2 linked regions of the Danio rerio genome follow. The protein of the gene in region 1 binds, or shares a complex with, the protein of each later gene. Links are inferred from orthologs where the notes say so. Each region holds a gene or a part of one and is shown on either strand. Other genes may lie near its edges.

Region 1 (4,651 bases):
GACAACCTAATTAGAAATGCTGGACTCTGCAGTTCTCATGTTATATCAAGTTTACGCAATGCTGAATCATGCAAATTACTCGTTTGTGATTGCAGCAATGATTTCAGCATAAACAGTTAAACATGGTTAATTAAACTGCGAACACTGAATGCTAAGAATAATACGTGAAAGTGTAAGTTATTAAGATAAAGTTGGTTTTTATATTCACATATTCATTTAGTGACAACTTGTGACACACTCCCTATATTGTTTACCACGGCACTTTGAATATTCGATCTGAAAAAGCTGCAAGTGTGACTTGAAAACAACATTAGCACTGTTTATTTGACTGTGAGCAATGTTCTACTTCAATAGTCATTGGCGGCTAATATGATTTTGCTATTTAGAGTTTGCAAATAATACTTTTATAAAATTATATTATTAAGGAGAAAGTCAGAATGTGTGAATATAAAACCAACTTTACCTCTATGTGTAAGTTAACGTTGGCTCCGTCTGCTTTCCTTGTCTTTGGCCAAGCAGAACCTCTGTTTTTAGCACTACATAGTTTTGAATCTGGTAATCATGGAACATTATTTCTTACACTTATTTCTTAATCTTGTTAAAACACTTGGAGCTTCGATGAGAGAGTTGTATATTTGGGGCAGGATGCTTGGCCATTTCGTCTTATCCAATATTCATTGGGAGGGTGCTTTCGCGACTCACATCACTCACTTTAACGTTAATTTTGCCAAATCACTGTACTTATCACTGGGTGACAAGCTGTTATAATACGTTGAAAGCATTATGTAAATCATGCATATATATATATATATATATTAAAAAAAATAATATATATATATATATATATATATATATATATATATATATATATATATATATATATATATTTATATATATATATAATAATATATATATATATATATATATATATATATATATATATATATATATATATATATATATATATATATAATATGTAATCAGTATAACTTACTTCTAAGTCAACAAACTCCGCATCGGATGTCATTCCCTCGCTGTAAATGCTAGCGCTCCCCTTTTTTTTCTGCCACTCCCTGCGCGCGCATCCTGAATGTTTAAAAACATGGTAATTCGTCTATAAGGTTCCTTTAATAGCATCGATGTTGTAATGTAATTGAAATACAATCAGTTTAATAGACTTAATCATTTATTAAGTTGTTTAAGTGTAAAACGAGATGAACGATTGCGTAAACGCAAGTGTCATCAGTAGAAGCGTGCTAGTGCAGAAACTCCACAGAAAATACATTTCCATATTTTAAAGACATAACGCAAGAAATCAACTTAATGCAGTACTTCTTGTCCAGTCTAGACCAACTTTATTTCATATATCAATCAGGAAGTAAAGATCACATTAAAAAAAAGAATTCAGATCTTAAAAGTCAATGTACATATACTCAATTTAATTGGACAAAATCAGTAGTGCAGGATGAGTCAATATTTTTGTTTGTTTTCTAGAAGCCGCACTAGATCACACACACTACACAATCTAATAAAAGTTACAGTTAGCAAACAAATGATTGTCTTGAACTAATACACAATCTAAAAGCCACAAAACGACATTTTATTTGATTGTGTGTTAAAAAAATTAACAATGTCTGATAATGGTATTCCTCATGGTACTGCACAATTTACTTGTTTGTAAAATTTCCCTACCGTCCATCGGTGGACCTTTATTTTGAAATTTCCGGAAGTCTTGGTGCAGTGAGTTGAGCTTCACTCTCTCGTTCCCCTCAGCGACTCTGACATCATGGCGGACGCCGATTCTTGGGGTGAGAATTTCTTAAACTCCACCGTTATCTTTCTCTTCTATTCGCTTGGAAACATATAATCTTTTCTACCAGATAAACGTACGCCAAAAATACGCCTGTCATTAAGTGATCTGTCTGAACAATCGGTCGTTTTCCAGATGCGGACAGTTTCGAGCCTGAGGAGCCCATCAAAAAGGCGGCAGTTCATGACAAATGGGAGGGCGAGGATGAGGACGACGACGTGAAAGTTAGTAACGAACCCTTAATTTGTCGTTCTCAAGTAAAAAAAACTGTTTTAACTCTTCTTTAATCCCTACATATCAAGACATTACAGTTGGCTAACTTTAGCTAGCTACTCTTGCTAACTCAAGAGTGTCAAAACAACGTGGTGATAAGTCCTAATACGTGTCTATTTAGTTTGGTGTATACCTGCTTAAATACGCTGTCATAAGTTAAACAGTGAAATTATAGTAATTATATGAGTCAGTTCCATTTCTCTAGGCCTTTAATTACAATTAATAGTTTTGTTAGTGTAGATGGCCTTTTGTAGCAGCATGTCACTGTAGATTGTCACCTGTTGATTATTTAAAATTATTGGATCATCCCAAGGAGATTTCATAAAAGGAAAGTTTGAGAATGTTAATGCTTCTCTTAGGCTAGCAACGAAGATGAAGTGGACTAATTTATTAATTAAAAGTATTCTTCCTTTCCATTTAGGATAATTGGGATGATGATGAAGAGGAAGAAAAGGAGGAAGAGGAGGAAAAAAAGACAGGTACAGTGATGTTCATGAGTTGGGGGAAAAGTGCATTGTTAGGATAAAATGGGGTCAAAGGCCAAAAAGGATTTTGAAGCATCAAAGCATATGTTGCGCAGTGACCATGAGGCTATCAGTGAAGAACAATAATAATTTGATGATATATTAAACTATTTAAGCAATCACGTTGAAGCCTCAAAATACTTACTGTCATTTTTAATCTTTGTAATTTCGCCTTTGTCCTTTAAACCAAGTTCAATTACTTATAAAGCAAGTTTTTAAAGTACATAAAACTAACTTTATACAAAGCAAAAATTATTTAAAAATTTTTTTTTTAATAATAATAAAGTATTGAGAAACCAAGAGAAATACTAGAACTACTAGGTTTTATCTATTAGTATCTATTTACCATAGATTTTAATACTTTTAAAAATTCATAAAGTTTAAGTTAATTTGTTTTAAGTACAGGTCAAAATAAGTATACATTACACTAAATGACGAGAAACCCTTTTCACAATATTTCGACATGCTTTTTTCACAAATAATATTTGAAATATTACATCATCTCATTTGACATGCTAACTGTGTATATCTGCACACCAAAATGGGACGTCTGTTATGAATTTTTTTATTTTGTAGTTGGCTCTATAACTAAATAAATCTACATGCATGAATATACAAACTATTTTAAAAATATTTTTTTAAAAGACTGTAAATTATCCACATTTAAATTCACATAATTACAAAGCATCTGCAGGGTCCTAAAAGTCTTAAATAGTCTTAAATTTCAACTACATTTTAGGCCTTAAAAACTCCTAAATTCACTCAAATATTGTGTTTTAGGTCTTAAATAATTTTAAACAGGTCTTAATTTTGTTTTGTCCAAGTAAAGTTACTCAACCGAAATCCATCCAATCATCCACAATGTGTCTCAATAAAACCTTATTTTTTAAATTAAAGTTTTTTTTATTGCAAAAAGATACATTCCCAACAGCTGTTAGCCATTTCTTACAGAAAATTCCCCAAATTAAATGGCCTAATCAGGAGAAAAAAAAACTAAAAATGATTACTCAATTCCTCAGGACAATACCAGGCCATTAGGATAAATCTCAACCCTGCATAAGTCTAAAATGTCATTCTTAATGTCTTAAAGGGGTCTTAAAAACTCTTACATTTGAATGGATGAAACCTGCAGAAACCCTGATCAGGTACTTCAGTTTGTAACGTTTGTATGCGATTTTGTTTGGATTTTTCATATGCAGAGGCTAAACCTACAGAAAAAAAGAAACTCAGTGAAAAGATAAAAGAAAAGGAAAATTTACAAAGGAAAAAACAAGAGGAGCTCAGAAAACAAGTAAGTTGGCGCAGTAACAATTTATTGATATTAAGCACATTTAATTCACATTGTGGGTTTTTATTTTTTTATTTTGCTGTCACTGTTGAAGTTTATCTTGATATGGCTACAAACTTTGAACTTGTATTATAACTATAACCATTCATGAAGGATTTTGGGGTAAATATATCACAGTTTTAACAAAAAATATATAGCTGATTATAAAACATTGATGATAAGTGTTTCATGAGCAGCAAATCATATTAGAATGAGGATCATGTGACTGCAATAATGATCCTGAGATTTTGAGTTTGACATTTCAGGAATAAATTAGATTTTAAAATATATTATAGTACAACAATTATTGTAAATGCTATTCATTTTGTAAGAATATTTTTCATTAAATGTATACAACATTACATTTTTAAAGCAGTTAGAGGAGACAAAAAGAGACACACCACTCACACCAGAAGATGAACTGGCAGAGAAACTCAGAGTGAAACAACTACAGGAGGATTCAGACTTAGAACTAGCAAAAGAGGCATTTGGTGAGTGCTTTCTGTATATAACATGCATCTACATTTGTTTTTAAAACGGATAAAAGATTCAATTCTGAACTTTTATTCTCTCTTTTTAGGTGTAGTTTCAAATAATGTTACCGGAATCGATGCAATAAGTCCCTCTTCGAAAGACGACTTCACAGAGTTCGAGAGGTTGCTAAAAGAAAAAATATCTCCCTATGAGAAGTCTATACACTATTCCGGCTTTTTAGAA
Region 2 (3,875 bases), on another chromosome or scaffold:
CATCACACACTGAGTTCTGCACTGTTCCCGCAGCTCAGGAGTCTGCCTGACACTCTTCACCTCCGCTGGTGTAAACCTCCAGCTGACGATTGATGTTGCTCTTGTCCACCAGAGAGTGAAGGACGTTCAGCACGCTGTGGACATTCCAGATCTTAGGATTATTCCTCAGGAACTCGATCTCCTCTTCTGATTTCTTAGCCGTCTTACAGCGATACTGACTGAATGACTGGAACTGAGAGAGAAAAGGTGATTCAGCGTTTAAGATTTTAATAAAACCGTTCATCTCATTAGATGTGCTACATAAGGGATAAAGTGCATCCAGGCGAGTGTTATCAGATTATTACATGTCTGTCTGGTTGATTGGTCAGTTGTGACATTCCAAGGTATGTTATTTAAAGATAACGACCGCTGATTAACACAGGATCATCCGGGAAACGGATATAAATAGGTAGATAAATAGGTTCACATCCATATACTTACACCCACATTGATGTGTATTTGCTTGTTTGTCACGCTGCTGTTTAGTGCAATCTTGTGAATTAATAATATGTAGGTTATTATATGTAAAAACTAAAAAGGCTGAATAAAGCTGATGGATCATACACCAATCTATGTATGAAGGCTGAATTATATTTATGCAGAGTGATCGCCTGTAAACCACGGTGCATGCCTTGCACATTTATACTTCTGCATTCTGTTTGTGTAGCTCTCCAATAACACTTCCGATACACTAGCTGGCAGGGTTTCAATGTTCCCCTGTGTTGAGTTTCTTCGTGGGTGTTTTGTTTACATCGCTCATTCAGAGGCAGGAACCAGCGGAAGTACAACAACTTTAATCAAAGTAAACAAAACAAAAGTCCCCACCTGGAGCTCCTCAATGGGACTCAACACTTGTTAAACACTCGCTCCAATGGACTCACAGCTCACTTGCTGTGTTATTAGTTTCAGTGGTTGTTATCGGTCAATAACATACCTAGTAATGTTGTGATAGCCCAATCTGAATGAAATATTTCAGACAGCCATACATTAAATACTACAAAAAAACCTGTCCAAATGCCGAAACAAGAGATCTCAATTAAATACAGGCTGGTTGCTCTTACCTGGTAAATAAACTCATCAATGATGTCCCATAACCACTGGTTAGGAAGCTCCAGAGGTGCCGGTCCATCAGCGTCTGAAATAATAAACCATATTAATCGTATATGCACAAATATAACTCATAATCAAACTCAAGGACTGGGTGATATAAACAAAAACTTTACAGTCTTAAACTAGTACTGTTGAAAATTTGGACTCTGGAAGAACTAAACATATTTTAAAGGGTGCCTTTATTAACTCAAGTACAATAATATTGAGATTTCTGTTTTTCTATTTGAATGTGTGTTAAAAAGATTTATTCCTGTGATGCAAAGCTGAAACCAGCCTTTACATTTTACATTTACAAAAAACAACAATCAACAAATCAAGTCCACATCTTCAGATTATCTAAATATAAAAAATAAATGTTGAATATTTGGTAATTAATTATAACTAACATTATTCAGATGGCTTCTGCTAACAGAAAATGAATAGTATTTTATTTAAAAGCATTTTTTCTTGAAGAAATAGTTCACCCAAAATTAAAGGTTAACTCATTTTTTCACCCCTGAGTGTTTCTAAAGCTTTATGACTTTTGTTTCTTAAGCTTTGTTGACCACAAATAAGTATATTTTGAAGAATGCTGGATACTGAAAGCCATTAACATCTATAGTAAGAAAAATCTACAACAGTGGTCAGTGGCTACTGGTCTCTAACTTTCTTCAAAATGTCTTGTGTTCAACAGACAAAAAAAAAAAAAAACAAGTGGATGGTTGGTAAATGAAAGAATTTTTATTTAAGTGAACTATCCATGTAATCATTTTCAATAAATATTCACAATGATGCTTAAATTTAATATCACCACTAAATTAACCCCAAACATTTGAAATATCCCCCCAAAGCATACTTTATTTGATGTGGTTTGTGTGTTAGTGTGACTCACTGAGGATGTAGTTGAAGAGGTTGCAGTAATTATAGTAGGACTCAAACCTCTGGTCGAGAGTTGGGCCTCCCTGCATATGAGAAGCAGGCATTATTAAATATCAAGAAAACAACATGGCTCCTCACATCAGCTGAAACTCAATCTAAGGTTAAGCCTATATTTGCAAAAATAAATATTCACAACTAGAAATCACATTCGGAGATAAATGAGCAAACACTCACGCTGACTTTAGCGTAGATGTGCCTGTAGTACAGCTCCTTATACAGGATCAAGAAAACCGCATCTGTTACATAAAAAATAAAGAAAAAAAGATTAGTGCTGTTCAATGATTAATCAAAAATAAAAATTTGTATTTAAAATATAATTTTGAGCGTATTGTGTACATTTATTATATTTATAAAATATGCATATCCATGTCTACAGATATTTAAAATATTTATATATAATATTTTACATATTATTTAAATGCAAATATTTTATGTATTATTATTTATATAAAGCATAAAATTATTTAAAATATCAATTAAGTATTTTTTAGAACGAATATATTATTTTTATATAGCTTACAATCATATCTGGTATATTACATTTTAAATGTCTATCTATATATAGTGTAAAATTATATTTATATCAAATTTTAAATATTCTTAAAAACAGTATTTATATATAGCTTAAAATCATATCATGTATATACATCAAATTTTAAATGTTAAATAAATGTTGATTATTAATATATAGCGTAAAATCATACATGTACAAAAATGCTAACAATTTTGAGACTAAATTATTTATATATAGCTTACAATCATATCTTATATATTACATTTTTAATATATTTAATATATTAAATTGTCTATATATATATATATATATATATATATATATATATATATATATATATATATATATATATATATATATATAAATATATAAAAGCCAAAATTGCTCACGACATTTTTATATATATATATATATATATATATATATATATATATATATATATATATATATAAATGTCATGAGCGATTTTGGCTTTTAACGATTATGAAAAACCATTAATCGAGATAAACGATTATTCCATCACGTACCGCCCCCTTTCCATTGTACACGTGTGAAAACTCTGCCTCTGCAAAGCTCAGTTCCACATGAAAATGACTAAAAGCATGTGCTGTAATGTAACTTTTGCAGCACGGGATGCGCATCATTCATATTTTTAAATGCGCAAAAGAGCAGGTGCTGTTGTGTGTGTGCGCACCATGCTTTGCCTCTGACAGGTAGCGTGTGTGTGTTTGCGCGAGCGCCGCGCTTAGCCTCGGACAGCAGAGCACACACACATCTAACGCGATCTTAATGCGAGCGCTTTAATGGTCAAAAATACATGCACATTTGTGTCAGAGCGCAGTGTTTAGTGATTATTCACATTAACCCTCATTTGTGTAATAAACAAGTTGAGAATTAAAAGACACGTGAAAGAGAAACCATATCAGAGCCGTACTATTCTTAAAAATACAGCGTGCAGTATTCCTGCTGCTGTCGACCGTTTTTATCATCAATCAATAATAAAATCAAAAATACAGTGAAGATGCTTAAAGCACAGTTTAAACAACAGATTTAATAACTCATTTCTAATAACTGATATCTTTTATCTTTGCTATAATGACAGCACATTATATTTTACTAGATGCTTTTCAAGATACTCAGCTTAAAGTGACATTCAAAGGCTTAATTAGGGTAAATAGACAAGTCATTGTATAACAGTAGTTTCTTCTGCAGACAATCAAACATATATATACTGCTTAAAGGGGCTAATAATATCGAGCTATTAAAATAGGTTTCAAAATATTCAAACCTGCTT

Evidence for each region.
Region 2: eif3ja (region 1) and eif3s6ip share a complex: the UniProt entries of both Homo sapiens proteins name them as parts of the eukaryotic translation initiation factor 3 (eIF-3) complex. The link is inferred for Danio rerio from reciprocal best matches to the Homo sapiens genes EIF3J and EIF3L.

What each region holds. Positions count from the first base shown.
Region 1 is NC_133200.1:34,325,407-34,330,057, reverse strand, and holds the start of eif3ja (eukaryotic translation initiation factor 3 subunit J-A), read left to right. Parts: upstream 1-1,694; 5' UTR 1,695-1,786; coding exon 1,787-1,808; intron 1,809-1,945; coding exon 1,946-2,034; intron 2,035-2,504; coding exon 2,505-2,562; intron 2,563-3,806; coding exon 3,807-3,898; intron 3,899-4,307; coding exon 4,308-4,425; intron 4,426-4,514; coding exon 4,515-4,651. UniProt on the Homo sapiens protein: Component of the eukaryotic translation initiation factor 3 (eIF-3) complex, which is required for several steps in the initiation of protein synthesis.
Region 2 is NC_133188.1:46,828,242-46,832,116, forward strand, and holds part of eif3s6ip (eukaryotic translation initiation factor 3 subunit L), read right to left. Parts: intron 2,304-3,875; coding exon 2,242-2,303; intron 2,091-2,241; coding exon 2,021-2,090; intron 1,175-2,020; coding exon 1,101-1,174; intron 233-1,100; coding exon 61-232; intron 1-60. UniProt on the Homo sapiens protein: Component of the eukaryotic translation initiation factor 3 (eIF-3) complex, which is required for several steps in the initiation of protein synthesis.